Struthio camelus: one gene and its partner. The main gene of each other region encodes a partner of the protein of the gene in region 2 in a complex. Links are inferred from orthologs where the notes say so. Each region holds a gene or a part of one and is shown on either strand. Other genes may lie near its edges. The genes, in order: NUMA1 and GPSM2.

Evidence for each region.
Region 1: the proteins of GPSM2 (region 2) and NUMA1 are in contact, whole or in part, in a crystal structure (PDB 6HC2), measured with the Homo sapiens proteins. The link is inferred for Struthio camelus from reciprocal best matches to the Homo sapiens genes GPSM2 and NUMA1. Residues at the interface, in NP_001307967.1 of Homo sapiens: Ala28, Leu29, Glu32, Cys35, Lys36, Phe47, Lys59, Thr60, Ser62, Ala63, Ile64, Ser66, Gln67, Asn70, Ala71, Phe73, Asn110, Lys113, Tyr146, His153, Lys157, Pro164, Gln165, Arg203, Gly206, Asn207, Asn210, Tyr213, Leu214, Arg228; in NP_006176.2 of Homo sapiens: Ser1901, Phe1902, Tyr1903, Met1904, Gly1905, Thr1906, Cys1907, Gln1908, Asp1909, Glu1910, Pro1911, Glu1912, Leu1914, Asp1916, Trp1917, Asn1918, Arg1919, Ile1920, Ala1921, Leu1923.

The regions. Positions count from the first base shown.
Region 1 is NC_090942.1:224,085,716-224,093,330, forward strand, and holds the start of NUMA1 (nuclear mitotic apparatus protein 1), read left to right. Parts: upstream 1-4,495; 5' UTR 4,496-4,580; intron 4,581-5,680; exon of another isoform or gene 5,681-5,814; intron 5,815-7,615. Other genes in the region: LRRC51 (leucine-rich repeat-containing protein 51), read right to left, coding at 496-826, 942-1,090, 1,175-1,386, 1,482-1,579, 4,141-4,181. UniProt on the Homo sapiens protein: Microtubule (MT)-binding protein that plays a role in the formation and maintenance of the spindle poles and the alignement and the segregation of chromosomes during mitotic cell division.
Region 2 is NC_090949.1:13,299,488-13,307,589, reverse strand, and holds the start of GPSM2 (G-protein-signaling modulator 2), read left to right. Parts: upstream 1-4,856; 5' UTR 4,857-5,094; intron 5,095-6,189; exon of another isoform or gene 6,190-6,503; intron 6,504-8,102. Other genes in the region: protein AKNAD1, read right to left, coding at 16-151, 500-633, 1,102-1,161, 1,275-1,426, 1,564-1,693, 2,029-2,088, 2,784-3,878. UniProt on the Homo sapiens protein: Plays an important role in mitotic spindle pole organization via its interaction with NUMA1. Required for cortical dynein-dynactin complex recruitment during metaphase. Plays a role in metaphase spindle orientation.

The DNA of each region.
Region 1 (7,615 bases), on a different chromosome or scaffold from region 2:
CCAGCTGGCCACGCGCCCGCTGAGCTGGGAGGAGTTTCTGTGGGCCGGTGCGGGCAAGGGGGGGGGGGTTCGAAAGGAGTCCTGGTTTTTCGTCCGTCGCGTCCGGTGGAGCGGGAGATGCTCCGCTGGGCTGCACGCCTTGCGCCCTGTGCGCTCCGCTCTCGGCCCCTGAGCAGCACGGGCGGCAGGAGCCACCCGGGTCCCGTTGTGCGGGCCCGGGGAGGGGAGGGGAGGACCCGGGATGGCTGCGATAACGGGTGCAACGGGCGCCTGGCGGCCTGCGCGCTCCGGTTGCTCCCTTGCCCCCGAGGCGCCACGGTTCTCGTGCGCCTTCCCCAGCCGGTGGCGGCCGCCGCTGCTCTCCCCCCCCGTCCCCGAGCCGCCGCCGCTGCGTGCCCCAAAGCGCCTCGCGGACGATGCTGCAGGACGAGTCCGGTTCGCAGGCGTTGTTTCCTTAACCCCGGGCGGTGCCGCCGGGGTGAGGGGGGGCTTTATTTATGAGGAAGGGGAGGGAGCGGGAGGAGGGCCGGCGCGGGGTCCGGGGGCGAAGCCAGCCCCGGAAGGGCGCCCGAGGCCGAGCCGCTCCCCGCCAGCCTCCTGCTTCGCGGCCCTGCCAGCAGCAGCAGCAGCAGCCGCCCCGGTGGGTGCGCGGGGCTGGGGGGGGGGGGCTCCAGCTCGGGAGCTGCCCCCCGCCGCCGCCGCCTTCCCGGCCGCCTTGGGCTTGGCCTGCATGCGCTTCCAGGCGGCGGCGGTGGAGCGGTCCTGCTTGGTGACGCCGCTGAAGTCGAAGGACTTGAGCTGGGGCAGCACGGAGATGACGTAGCTCCTGCCGGGGCGCGGAGGCGGCGGTCGGGGGGGGGGGGACAGGCGCTGAGACCCCCCCCCCCCCCCAAAAAAGGGAGGTGGGGCAGGGGAGAGGCGGGGGGGGGCGAGCAGCATACCTGTAGCCCGGCTGCTCCTCGACGGGGTTGCCGTGCAGGGTGAGGCGGCGCAGGCGCGGCAGGGCGGCCAGCTTGTCCACCTCGGCCAGGCTGCGGATGCCGTTGGCGTGCAGGTGGAGGCTGCGCAGGTGGCGGTAGGCGGTCAGCACCTGCGGGCGCCCGCCGGGCCGTGAGCAGCCGCCCCGAGGCGCGGGGAGCCCCCCCTACCCCCCCCCCAAACCCCAGCGCCCTACCGGGTCGATGGTGGGCAGCGCGTTGAAGGAGAGGTCGAGCCAGGAGAGCCGCTCGGGGGCCTCGAGGAGCCGCTCGAGGGCGGGCGCCAGGCCGGCCAGGCTGCCCAGCGCGTTGTTGTTGAGGCGCAGGGCGCCGGCAAGCAGGCGGCCGCCGGCCGAGCGCCCCGCCGCCCGCCCCGCCGCCCCGGCCCGCGGCTCCTGCGCCAGCAGCTCTGGGCGCGCGGGGTGGGGGGGGGGGTGAGAGGTGCCCGCCGGGGGGCTCCCCCCCCCCCCCACCACCACCCCTTTTCTGCCCCCGGGGTCCCACCTGGGATGGAGGTGGCGCCGCGGAAGGAGAAGTCGAGGGGGGGCGCCAGGGCCGGGCACCGCGCCATGGGGCCGAGGCCGGCGGCGGAGGCGGCCCCCCTGCGCGGGGCGGCGCTTGTCGGGGTGCTGTCCCCCGCCCCGACCCCACGCCTGTCCTCCTGCCCCCGCGGATGTCCCCACCCGTGTCCCCAGCCCCCCCCCTCCACACACACACACCGCGGGCGTCCCCACGCATGTGTCTGGCTGCCACGGGCGTCCTCCTGGCCCCCACGGGCGTCCCCACGCGTGTCCTCCTGCCCCCACGCGTGTCCTCCTGCCCCCATGTGTCCCTACGCACACCCCCACGGGCGTCCCCACGCGTGTCCTCCTGCCCCCACGCGTGTCCTCCTGCCCCCATGTGTCCCTACGCACACCCCCACGGGCGTCCCCACGCGTGTCCTCCTGCCCCCATGTGTCCCTACGCACACCCCCACGGGCGTCCCCACGCGTGTCCTCCTGCCCCCACGCGTGTCCTCCTGCCCCCATGTGTCCCTACGCACACCCCCACGGGCGTCCCCACGCGTGTCCTCCTGCCCCCATGTGTTCCTACGCACACCCCCACGGGCGTCCCCACGCGTGTCCTCCTGCCCCCACGCGTGTCCTCCTGCCCCCATGTGTCCCTACGCACACCCCCACGGGCGTCCCCACGCGTGTCCTCCTGCCCCCACGCGTGTCCTCCTGCCCCCATGTGTCCCTACGCACACCCCCACGGGCGTCCCCATGCGTGTCCTCCTGCCCCCACGCGTGTCCTCCTGCCCCCATGTGTCCCTACGCACACCCCCACGGGCGTCCCCACGCGTGTCCTCCTGCCCCCATGTGTCCCTACGCACACCCCCACGGGCGTCCCCACGCGTGTCCTCCTGCCCCCATGTGTTCCTACGCACACCCCCACGGGCGTCCCCACGCGTGTCCTCCTGCCCCCACGCGTGTCCTCCTGCCCCCATGTGTTCCTACGCACACCCCCACGGGCGTCCCCACGCGTGTCCTCCTGCCCCCACGCGTGTCCTCCTGCCCCCATGTGTTCCTACGCACACCCCCACGGGCGTCCCCACGCGTGTCCTCCTGCCCCCACGTGTGTCCTCCTGCCCCCATGTGTCCCTACGCACACCCCCACGGGCGTCCCCACGCGTGTCCTCCTGCCCCCATGTGTCCCTACGCACACCCCCACGGGCGTCCCCACGCGTGTCCTCCTGCCCCCATGTGTCCCTACGCACACCCCCACGGGCGTCCCCACGCGTGTCCTCCTGCCCCCACGCGTGTCCTCCTGCCCCCATGTGTCCCTACGCACACCCCCACGGGCGTCCCCACGCGTGTCCTCCTGCCCCCATGTGTCCCTACGCACACCCCCACGGGCGTCCCCACGCGTGTCCTCCTGCCCCCACGCGTGTCCTCCTGCCCCCATGTGTCCCTACGCACACCCCCACGGGCGTCCCCACGCGTGTCCTCCTGCCCCCACGCGTGTCCTCCTGCCCCCATGTGTCCCTACGCACACCCACACGGGCATCCCCACGCGTGTCCTCCTGCCCCCACGTGTCCCCACGTGTCCCCGGCCCCCATGCACACCCCCTCGGGCGTCCCCACGCGTGTCCTCCTGCCCTCATGTGTCCCCACACGTGTCCCTGGCCCTCGCGCACACCCCCATGGGCATCCTCACCCCTCACGGGTGTCCCCACACATGTCCTCCTGCCCCCATATGTCCCCATATGTCCCCAGCCCCTGTGCACATCCCCACAGCAGTGCTCCTGCCCCCCACGGGCATCCCCTCACACGTCTTCCTGCCCCCATGTGTCCCCATAGGTGTCTCTGGCCCCCGCACAAACCCCCACATGTGTCCTCCTGCCCCAGTGTGTCCCCACATGTGTCCCCAGCCCCCGTGCACACCCTCATGGGTGTCCCCACCCCCCACGGGTGTCCCCACGCGTGTCCCCCTGCCCCCATGTGTCCTCACACGTGTCACCAGCCCCCGTGCACATCTCCACAGCTGTGCTCCTGCCCCCCACGGGTATCTCCACATGTGTCCTCCTGCCCCAGTGTGTCCCCACATGTGTCCCCAGCCCCCGCGCACACCCTCATGGGTGTCCCCACACCCCACGCGTGTCCCCACACGTGTCCCCCTGCCCCCATGTGTCCTCACACGTGTCCCTGGCCCCCCACGGGCATCCTCAAGGCCATGCACCAACCCCCCACGGGGCATCCCCACACATGTCCTCCTGCCCCCATATGTCCTCACATGCATCCCCATGGGCATCCGCCTGTCCCCACGGGAGTGCCCACGCGTGTCCTCCTGCCCCACACGCACGTGCCCGTGGGTATCGTCCTGCTCCCACACGCAGCCCCACGGCGAGTCCCCCAGCCGCCGCCCATGTCCTCCTGCCCCCACAGGCATCCCCATGCCTGTCCCTCTGCTCCCACCCGCACCCACTCGCGTCCCCCTGCCCCGGCCCACCTCCCCACACGTCCCCATGCCTGCCTCCCCACATCCTCCTGCGCCAGACACCCCCCCCACGTCCCCATATGTGTTCTCGTCCCCACACAGCCCCACTCGAGCCCCATTCTCCGCGCGTGGGGCCACTCGCATGTCTCCCGTCACCAGTGCCCTGGCTCCCACGCGTATCCCTTACCCACACAGGATCCTAGGTGCGTCCTTCCCCGCGTGGGGCATCAGACATCTCCCCCCTCCTCCTGTACAACGCCCCACACCCCGCTCCTCCCCACAGGGCCCCACGCGTGTCCCCTAACCGCCCGCGCGGCCCCACGGGCGCCCCGCTCACCACCCCCCGCGCGCCGCCGTCGCCACGGCAACCAGCCCCTCGCCCCGCCCCGCCCCGCGCGGGGCACGCCGGGACGAGCGCTCGCCCCGCTGGGATTGGTAGTTCCCCGCCCTCCGCCGCCTCGCAACCTCACGTGACGTAAGGCCACGCTGACGTATCCTGGTCGGCAGCCAATAGGCAGGGGGCAGGGGGCCGGCGCAGCCATTTGAATCGGGCAGGAGGCCGCGTCGGCTGCTTTGCGCCGCGGGGCGGGGGGTTCCGGCGGGGGCCCCGCGGCTACAGTGAATACGGTAGGGCCTGAGGGGGGGGCCTAGGGCCTGGGGGGGGAAGGGGGACCTGGAGGGGGGGAGCAGAGGGACAGCGAGGTGGGGGGGGGAAGGGGGACGTGGAGGGGGGGGAGCAGAGGGACAGCGAGGTGGGGGGGGGAAGGGGGACGTGGAGGGGGGGGAGCAGAGGGACAGCGAGGTGGGGGGGGGAAGGGGGACCTGGGGGGGGGGGAGCAGAGGGACAGCGAGGTGGGGGGGGAAGGGGGACCTGGGGGGGGGGGAGCAGAGGGACAGCGAGGTGGGGGGGGAAGGGGGACCTGGGGGGGGGGGAGCAGAGGGACAGCGAGGTGGGGGGGGAAGGGGGACCTGGGGGGGGGGAGCAGAGGGACAGCGAGGTGGGGGGGGAAGGGGGACCGGGGGGGGGGGAGCAGAGGGACAGCGAGGTGGGGGGGGGAATGGGGACCGGGGGGGGGGGAGCAGAGGGACAGCGAGGTGGGGGGGGAAGGGGGATGTGGAGGGGGGGGGAGCAGAGGGACAGCGAGGTGGGGGGGGAAGGGGGACGTGGAGGGGGGGGAGCAGAGGGACAGCGAGGTGGGGGGGGGAAGGGGGACCTGGAGGGGGGGGAGCAGAGGGACAGCGAGGTGGGGGGGGGAAGGGGGGGACCTGGAGGGGGGGGAGCAGAGGGACAGCGAGGTGGGGGGGGGAAGGGGGACCTGGAGGGGGGGGGAGCAGAGGGACAGCGAGGTGGGGGGGGGAAGGGGGGGACCTGGAGGGGGGGGAGCAGAGGGACAGTGAGGTGGGGGGGGGAAGGGGGACCTGGAGGGGGGGAGCAGAGGGACAGTGAGGTGGGGGGGGGAGGGGGACCTGGGGGGGGGAGCAGAGGGACAGCGAGGTGGGGGGGGAAGGGGGACTTGGAGGGGGGGGAGCAGAGGGATAGCGAGGTGGGGGGGGGAACGGGGACCTGGAGGGGGGGGAGCAGAGGGACAGCGAGGTGGGGGGGGGTATGGGGCCGCTGTGGGGAGCAGGGAACCTGGGAGGGACACAGTGACCTGGGGTGGGGGGACAGGATGCTTTAGGGGGGTGGTGACCCTTTGGGGACGACTGTGTGGGACCGTGACGCTGCAGGACACGGAGGTGGCCGGAGGGACCGTGATCTGGCGCCTCTCCCCCTCCCACGGCCGGGCAGGGGGACCAGACCTGCGCCAGACCTGCGAGCGCCTTGCGCTTCTCCCTCGGCGTAGGTGGGATTGCGAGGCAGGTATGTGCAAGATCCTTGTCTTTGCCGGGGATTTTCCAGGAAGCTTTGAGTGGGTTAGTCTGGAGACGGATCCAAAACCTTTGCTGCTTTTGAGATGAAGCTTGATAAAGTCGGCAGCAGGATTATGCTGTGGGTTCTTGCAGCAGGAGAGGACCAGGCTCCGTAATCATCATGTCTTCCCCCTTGTGTGCCAGCAAGGCTTTTGACACTGTCTCCCATCACATCCTCGTAGGTAAGCTCAGGAAGTGTGGGTTGGATGAGTGGACAGTGAGGTGGATAAGAAATTAGCTGGATGGCCGAGCTCAGAGGGTTGTGGTCAGTGTTGCGGAGTCTAGTTGGAGGCCTGTAGCCCAGTGGTGTCCCCCAGGGGTCAGTCCTGGGTCCAGTCTTGTTCAACATACTCATCAGTGACCTGGAGGAAGGGACAGAGTGCACCCTCTGCATAAGTTTGCTGATGATCCCAAAGTGGGAGGAGAGGCTAACACACCAGAAGACTGTGCTGCCATTCAGAGGGACGTGGACAGGCTGGAGAGCTGGGCGGAGAGGAACCTCCTCAAAGTTCAGCGGAGGCAAGAGCAGGGTCCTGTCCCTGGGGAGGAATAACCCCAGGCAGCAGGACAGGCTGGGGGCTGATCTGCTGGAAAGCAGCTCTGCCGAGAAGGGCCTGGGAGTCCTGGTGGACAACAAGGTGACCATGAGGCAGCAATGCGCCCTTGTGGCCAAGAAGACCAGTGGGATCCTGGGGTGCATTAGGCAGAGTGTTGCCCGCAGGTGGAGGGAGGTGATCCTGCCCCTCTCCTCAGCCCTGGGGAGGCCTCACCTGGAGTACTGGGTCCAGTTCTGGGCTCCCCAGTACAAGAGAGACATGGAGCTCCTGGAGAGAGTCCAGCGGAGGGCTACACAGATGATGAAGGGCCTGGAGCATCTCTGCTCTGAGGAAAGGCTGAGGGATCTGGGCCTGTTCAGCCTGGAGAAGAGAAGATTGAGAGGCGATCTCATAAATGTGTAGAAGTATGTGAAGGGAGGGTGTTGAGAGGATGGGGCCAGCCTCTTCTCCGTGGTGCCCAGTGACAGGGCAAGAAGCAACGGGCATAAACTGAAACACAGGAAGGTCCATCTGAACATGAAGCAAAACCTCTTCACTGTGAGGGTGACAGAGCACTGGAACAGGTTGCCCAGAGAGGTAGTGGAGTCTCCTTCGCTGGAGATATGCAAAACCCGCCCGGATGCGATGCTGGACAACGTGCTATAGGTGACCCTGGTGGAGCAGGGGGCTTGGACTAGATGATCTCCAGATATCCCTTCCAACCTCAACTGTTCTGTGATTCTGTGGTAGTTCACTGGCAAGCAGATGTCCACCACGTTTCTGGTTCTTTAGCTTTTTCAGGTTCTTTGCTATCTGCGCCAAAGTAGCACGCTTTACACAGGAAATTCCTTGGACTAGTTGCTAAGGCGGTGGTGGCATTAACACATTGGTGGTGTGGCTGCTGAACGAAGCAGTTCTGCTGTCCTCCTTGTGCCTGCAGGAGGACTTCTGAAGCTGCAGAGTAAACCGGATTGGGGAACTGGTTGAGCTGAGGCCTTTTTTGCTAGATCAGTTCGAAAAATAACTAGCCCTGTGTCTGGGTGGGGTTTGCTGAGCAGTCACATAAACGCTTGGTGGCAGGAGTCTGCCTTCAGTGGAGGAGCAAGGGCTTGCGTGTGCAGATTTGGATTTGGTAAGCTGCTGGCCAAAAGCTCCTTGGAGCTGGGTTTCCCCTTCTGCAGGGTGACCCATGCGTCACCCATGGCCTTATCTGTC
Region 2 (8,102 bases):
AACTTGCTAAGTTACCTCACCAAGAGAATAGGATGAATGGGCAGATTCATAAGGAGTAAGCAAAGGAGACAAGCTGCATTTGCTGTTATCATCCTGCTCGTGGATGTCTTCAAGCAGCGTGCCAAGTCTAAATATTTCCCCTTCCACCTTTCTAAACACAATTGCAAAGTTAGTGAAACCTTTGTAAAATGGTGTTTTATTTCTTATTGGGGAAACGATATTGGGTATTGCAATAAAGAATCCATAAGATAGATAAATTCATAGATTTCACTGAGTTCACTTAAATACTTGAATTAATTGGTTAAATATTGCAGTTATAAGTAGGACACACAAAGCCTGTGATCAGTTTTGGCTAAATCACTTCTGGCTTACCATATATAACATAAGATAATGTTTTCGTTTCTGAAAAGTGTTGTAAGGACAACTGACTTAACGGTTGCAAGATACTCGGAAAATATTGAGAATATGTTGAAGTACTACTTAGTACTTATTTTCTAACCTTTCAGGATCAAACTTTCCAATGTTGATGGACTTGTCCTTGTAGTTCTGCAGCTGTAAATTACGGTGCTCTTCTCTAGCAGTTAAATAATTCTGTTCCAGGGCATCAAGGCGTCTTTTCAACTGACTTAACACCTTCACCAATAAGAAATAACTCAACAGTAAATGAAATTATGATGTAGCAAGCTATACTGATAGCTACTTATGCTATGTAAGCCAGATTGTATTTGCAGTGATGTTAAGAATTTCGCTATTGATCCGAATTGGAACAGGACTGCATCGTGTACGTCCGCTAAGTAACCTGTGCTGCTATTTTATGCACAACTAAAATGTGAAACCGTCACTTCTGGACTGACATCCTACATGTCAAAATTCATAATTTTTATGGCCATTTAAGGCCTTTCACAAACAGTTTTGAGTTGTAATCCTTAAAGCAGATTTAAGAATTCAGCCCCCTACTGAACACCTTCATTTCTGCTTTGATGCTCATAATTTCCATCTGAGATTGGGGGGAGGGGGGGGTGAGTATCTTGCCATAGATTCCTAAGACTATAGCCATTTAAAGCTCATTTCAGATGACTGAGAACGTATAAATGGATTTACCAGGTATTTGTCTTGTAAAAGGAATGTCTCTTGGGTCATATGTTTAGAGAAGTCCTCTACCTTGAAGAGAAAATTTGAGATTTTTATTTGGGATTTTTAAAGTGAATATGCCAAATGAATATTAAATTTGAGCATCAGTGCTAAGTATATATTAAAGCATCACTGTTCATTACTTCCATTTGCAGTTGATCTGTTTGTTCCTTTAGTATTTGAGTCATCTTTTCTCCTTGTGTTAGTTCTAGAAGTAAACTGGAAGGATTTAGGCAGTGTGCTTCTACTGTACCAGCTGATGGTAATGTTGATACTGTTGCCCCACACTGTAATCCTGCAAAACACAAGAGAAGAAGATGAATGAGTTGGAACGGTTTCTGCCCAAACTGTTTTACATAAAATATAATAAAAGTTATGTCAAATTACATGAAAAAAATCATCATTTGCATAGTCACTATAACTTTTATTTACCTGCTTCAGACAAAGCAAGCATAGGTTGTATAGGAAAAGGAGGGTGTAATGCAAAAACTTCAGAGGATGTCTCAGCGCCTCCTGAGTAAATGGCAAAACTTGGATTTGGAAAATCTGACTGAGGAAGCATCTGTTAAAATATGAAAACTTTGTTTATAGAAACGCTGTTTAGAAACACGTTGTGGATGCTAACTAGAAGAACTTATGAACAGCTCAAAACGCACAGGACAAGTTATCAGTAAAATGAAATATGTTTCTTGTAACTACCTCCTATAGTTTGCTGTATTTATATTTATAATTTGACAAATGTTCAGTGTCTCGTTGTATAGATATTTTGTGGAAATTAGAGGATTTGCGTAAATGGGAGGAACAAGGTGAAGATAGCAAAATAGTTTGGGTAAATATTCATAATCTTAGAGATAAAAGAGAACGAATTTAGGAAGACTGCTGTTTTGAGAGATTTACCTTAGGATTAAGTCTCAAATAATCGGTATGATTCTGGGCATCAGCATGCTGTGTCAGCATCTTGTGTACAGCCAGGAAATAACAGAGAAAACTGTTAAACATTGTTACATCTCAAATAATTTTACTAAGATACAAATCTAGGAAAGGAGTTACACATCTGTAACAGCTCTGTGAATGAACTCCATGGCAGGGCATGAAATTGAAAAATGATGATCTAATTGCTACCATAATAAAGACATTTTAAAACAGTAAAACAAATCCTTCAGAAAGATTTGGAATTGGCCAATCAAATACCAGCATAAGGAGTTGAAAAGTGTTAAGATGGGGGGGGGGGGGGGGGGAGTCTTTAACATATATATAGGCACTCTGTGTGTGTGTGTGTATATATGTATTTTTTTTTTTAAGGAAAAAGTACTTTTGGTGGATTTGAATGTTTGCTTATAATACTAGAAATGAGTGTATCAATGAAAAATGAAATAGTTTGTAGTGAATTTTGTAATAATTTGATGGGATGCTTTGTAATAACAAATAATACTGCAGAACATTGTTAAATATTTGTTAATGGAAGTTGCATAGAAATCCTGTCCTACAAAACTTTACTCATGAAAGCAATTTCTAACTGAATTGACGTGCTCACTGCTGCCTATGGTTTTCCTGCGTGAACTAGTTCTGTTAGATTTTGTTGGGCAGAGAATACTTTCTTGTGCTAACATCACTCTACAGATACTACAAGTTTCTTAAATGACCTTATTTACCTCCAGCTGTTGCAACAGTTCTGGAACACTCATTTCTTCTTGATTCTCTACTTCAACAGAATCAAAGTAGTTCCTGTTTTCTACAATGTCATTTGCAATTACTGATTTACTTGGCAAAATAGGAAAGGTTTTTGTCCTATCAGTGACAGGAGCTGATTTATTGTTGTCATTTCTTTTTGGTACTTTAACTTCTGAAGCAACTTTAGAGAAATCAGTAAGGCAATAATGAACTTGACCTTGGCCAAATTTGAGCTCGTGAGATGAACCTGTTCTCTTAAATGGATCTTTTTGTTGTTCTTTTTTAGTGTTTTGAAAGGTGTGTGTATCTTCATTCTCACTAATTAATGGTGAACTTTCTTGTACACACCCACACTCAATAGTAGCAGAAATAGATCTCTTTGAAACAAACTTATTTTCATTTAGCAAAGTTTGATCTCTCTCACCAGTGTTTATTTCCTCATGCTTATTTAAGTGATACCCTTCAAAGTTAGTTGCCCGTTGTTCATGAGATAAAGGGCACTTGGCAAGTTCTGAAGTCTCAGGTTTATTCAGAGGTTCATCAATACTTTCAGTAAAGGATATCTCTGGTATAGTCTCGCCTTCAATTAGCTGGCATGTGGTTATTAACTCTCCCTTAGGAAAATGACGCAAAAGGACATCAGACATTTTTGAGTGAGTGAGGTGTTGCTTCCTATCTGGTCTACTAAAGCAAACAGGTAATTCTTTCTTAAAAGAAGCTTCACTGACAGGCATTTCAACTGAAATTCCAGTTGTTTCTGTGGCACATGTATGGTAATTGAAAACTTCTCCAGGTTGTGGATGAGTTTCATAATTTGCTGCTGCTTTTATATTTTTGTTATCTTCAGAACAGGATATGTTTGAAAAAATATCAGAAATATGTTTTAAACAAGTACAGTCACTCAAATTATCTGAATAATTACTGTAGTGACAGGTTTTTCCTAGATCTCCGTCATAAGGTAAGTCTTCATTTTCCTCATCAGTCGTGTCTGCGATACAGTTTAACTCTTCTAAAAATGAACTAATCATTTGTTTTTTCATCCAGTCTGATGGTTTGCCCTCTTTCATAGTCTCCATATCCTGATTACTTAGTGCATGAATGTCATTGCTTCTCAGTTTTGAGGGAGAGCTTTTTTTGCCTGGATCAAAATCTGTAAGGTATTGAGTAATAGTTATTTTAAATTTAAATACAGTTGAGAATAGGATCTACTTATTTATATCTTGGACCTACCGCAGTTTTTTTGCTACTCAAATTTACAGAGCCGCCCTCCTGACATGGATGTTTTCTTTTCACGTTTACACTGGTGGAAATCGGGATTAGCCAGGGAGGAAACAAGAGTGACATAAAACAACAGAAGCATCAGGGAAAGGAAAATCAGGCTTTTACTGCCAGGTAATTTGTCCTTGCTCACTAATCCCCCCGTACTCTTAGAGACCGAAAACTTGGTAACGGCGGCAAGAGCAGCATAGAAAACCTGCAGTACAACTTCGGGGGGGCGGGGGGAGAAAGTGGCGTGTCATTAACCATAGCCTCTCGCGTCTCGCTTCACGGTATGAAAGGTTTCCTTGGCCTCCGCCCCCCAGGGGAAAAAGCACCTCTCTCTTCTTGTCCGCCTTGATTCCTACCCCCGCCCCTCTCATCAGCTAAAATGCTGTGCGTTATTTTAGTATGATGCTAATCCCCCGTCGTTTTAGCCCGGCAGCACGCTCTGTTTCCCCTGACGCGCCCTCGGCCCCTCCTAAGGCGGCTGCTTCCCGGGCAGGGGCAGCGCAGGGCCGCGTTACCTTGCTCGTGCTCCCTGCCGCTCCGCCGCCTCTCCCCAAGCGGCCCCCAACCCGGCAGCTCCCCTCCGCCGACCCTGCCAGCTTGGAAATACGCGGCCGAGCCGGGCGGGGCGGGGCGGGGCGGGGCGGCCGCTGGCGGTGTCCCCTTACCCGCCGGGTAACCCGAGCGCCCTCGCTCCGCCCACCTGGCGGGCCCCGCCCCCGGGGCAGGGCCCCAACCGCCGCCCCCGCCCTCTCCCTATTGGCTCGTGTGAACGATGCGGGTTTCCGGGGGGGCGGGGCGGGGGCGCGCGCAGGCCGCTGCGGCCCGCGTGGGAGAGCCGTTGGCCGCTGCCGCCCGTGGATTGGTGGGTTCGAAGCGCGGCTGCGCGTGGGCGGGCGCCGCCGTTGGCAGCGCCGCGGCCCGGCCCGGCCCGGCCCGGCCTGCCCCGCCCCGCGCTGCCCCAGCTGTGGCGGTCGCTCTGGAAACTGCTCCGGCACCGGGGGCGGGCGGACCCCCGGCCCCGAGGTGAGGCGCGGCCGCGGTGGCGAGGCAGGCGGCGGTTGGGGTGGGGCCGCGTCGCGGGCGCAGCGGGGGCCGTTGGATCGCGGTAGGGGGCCGCGGGGGGGCCGGCCCGCACCGCCCCGCACCTGCTGGCGGCGGTGAGGCAGCTGGCGAGCGCGGCCCCGGCGGCGGGGCGAGCGCCTCTGGTCGCCCGCACTGCGGCGGCCTTCCCCGCGGAGCAGCTGCTGAGCGGCCTGAGTTGTTGGTGGATGAACTCGCCGTATAACCAGGCTTGAAAAGCTGCCGGTCGGAACCTGAAGTCCGGCGTCTTTGACTTTAAGTGATCCTTCTTTTGGGTGTCTTGTACAGTTGCTAAACCTCGAAGGTTACTGCAGCCTTTTAAAATCCAGAATGATGAAATGGGAGCTCCAGTATAGCGACCTCACTTTTCTGCGAACAGAAACAGCATACAGCTATCAGACCAGCCTTTGTTGATTGTAAATAATCCAGAGATTGTTCTTGTTTCTCCAAAGCGAGTTGGTAGCAAAAAGATATTGTATCAGATATTTCTGATCGTTGTGCTGTGTTGTGTTTAGGAAGATAAGTAAGGATAATAAATAGATAAAAATTTAGCGGGAGATATGAAATGGGGTATTAGTGTGGCAGAAAATGGGGGCCTACAAACATACTATGAAGAACAAAGTGTATGGGGAACAATTCTAAACCCTAAGAATTTTAATTGGATATTCTGTTATGGCATATCTAAACCCAAATTGTACCCAGTGTGTCTTGCCTTGTCTTGCTTGACCTAGGGAACTACCGTTTTTTGCTAGTCTGTGCTGGTTCCTTTCCCCCTCCTCTTTTGCTTTTTAAAAGTTTTTAAAGAGGAGAGCGTATAGCTAATCAGAAGTTCTTATTTATCCCTTTATTGACCTAATAGCGAAGACACAAATTATTCCCCACCTCGAACTTGCTGCCCTCCCCCTTTAAAGCCTCTCTAAGCCTAATGTGCTGTTCCTGTTAGATTCTCGCCAGCAGGCTGCATAGTGCATGCATCCTGGGTTGCCATGGAGAGCTGTGCGACCAACTCAGAATTTAGAAGGACGTGCTGATCCTTGCATCGCAAAAAGACCAGTTGAGCGAGTGCATGCTCTGCTTGAACTTAGCATGAAAACTTCATACTTTTCTTTCGTTATAAGTCATAATTTTATTAGAGCTGAAAACATCAGCAAAAATGTTATCTTCACAATGCAGTCCTCGTAAATTCTTTGCTTGTGGATCTTACTTGTGTGTTTAAACTTCTGCGTGCATGTGCCATTGCTCCTTCATACCAGTTCTGTCGATGGTTACCCAAACTGGAAGGACTTTATATAAAGCTTGCACAGAAAATATTTGACACTGAAGTCAGCTTCATAAGACTAGAAGAGACCTATGTAAGTCAAGTCTATTGCTTTCACAGTTTATTTGCCCTTGTAACTCTTTCAGGCATCTTAAAACTATTTAGGACTGTATGCTTCTGCTGCTGGAGATTTACTTCACAATTTGTTGGTTAGAAGGTCAGACTAATTTTTGAAAAGGTATTCATGGCCATCTTTGTTCCTGTGCTGTCATTGTCTCTTGGCCTAGATGGTCCTCTTTCATCTTTTAATACAATTTTTTTTTTTTTTAGTTGAGGCATTTAGAGACGACAGTTCTTTCCTCTTTTAGACTTTCTTTTTGGTAATTAGCAGGGCAGGCCAGCCTCTCCTCCTAAGAATGCTGAGTAAAAGCGTTGCCAAAAATTGGAAAACCTGTTTATTTTGGCTTATTGTAGAGGAGAACGGTAAAATTCTAAAAATGAGTCTCACTTCTTATACCTTGTCAGGGTGGTAATTTCTTGTTATTTTGCTAGAATTGTTTCAAGTGTCAGTTCTGGGCCTTTTCTCGTTAACTGACGGCAACAGACCCATTTTTCTAAACTGATATTCCTCAGATCCCCCTGTGCACTATGATTTGGAGAGCATCTCTGCTCATCGGTAGTTAGGAAAAGGTATATTAAGAAACAGGTGTTTTTCTAAAAACTAATGCTACCATCAGTAGGTTTAATTATTGAACGTATGGAGGAGTTTTTCGTGTTTTACATAGTTTATTGGGATTCTTGTGTTTTATTAAAACAAGTGTTTTTAGTTTCTCCTAGTTTTTTTGTAAGAGTTACACAGTCTATTTTACTTTCCTCAATAGTTACTCATGCCCAGATCTGATAACTATAGTCTTGTTTTTAGTTGTCTTTGGTGTTAACATCTTAATGAATTTATTTTCATTTAAGGAGTCAGTATTGATCACATGACTTCCGGAAAGATTAACATCTTATGGCTATCGCTGTTTGTGTGAATGAAAGAACAGAGAGAGATCAGGTGAAGAAAAAAACCCGTTGACTTTTCTTTAGGCATTTAATAGCAGTTATAAAAATGCATCCCCCCCACGCCCCCAAAAAAGAAAAGAGTATGGTGGACCTACAAAGTTATGGTAGACCTACAAAATTAGGAATGTAATGTACAGAAAAACAGGAATGTAAAAATTGGTAAGAGATGGTCTGAAACACATGTAGTACCTGTAAAATAATCCCAACAGATAATTAATGTCAAGTTGCCTCCTAGGACTCAAATCTGGTAGTGTTTGGAGAACGTGGCTCTTGTTCATATAATAAAACTTGTGCGTTATATAAACCTTCTACCAATACGGAGGAAAAACTTGTATGCAGCTGAATTACAGGGAAAATGCTTATGGTCTACCACAAAGGCTCTTAAAATCTTCGCAATTTCTTTTCTGTTTCTGCTTACTTACGTTTTCTCTCCCATCGTCCTGGTAGTGTGCTGTTAGGAATTTTGTTCTTCGCATGCAAAACTTTGGAGCCTGTACCATACTTAGCAATCCCTGGCTTGTCTGAAGACAGGTACAGTCTTGCGACCAAGAGTTATTTGTGTAATAGCGTATAAATATAATGCAGAGATTTGTGTACAGCAGAGGTAAAAAGGAGCTCAATTCAATATCTG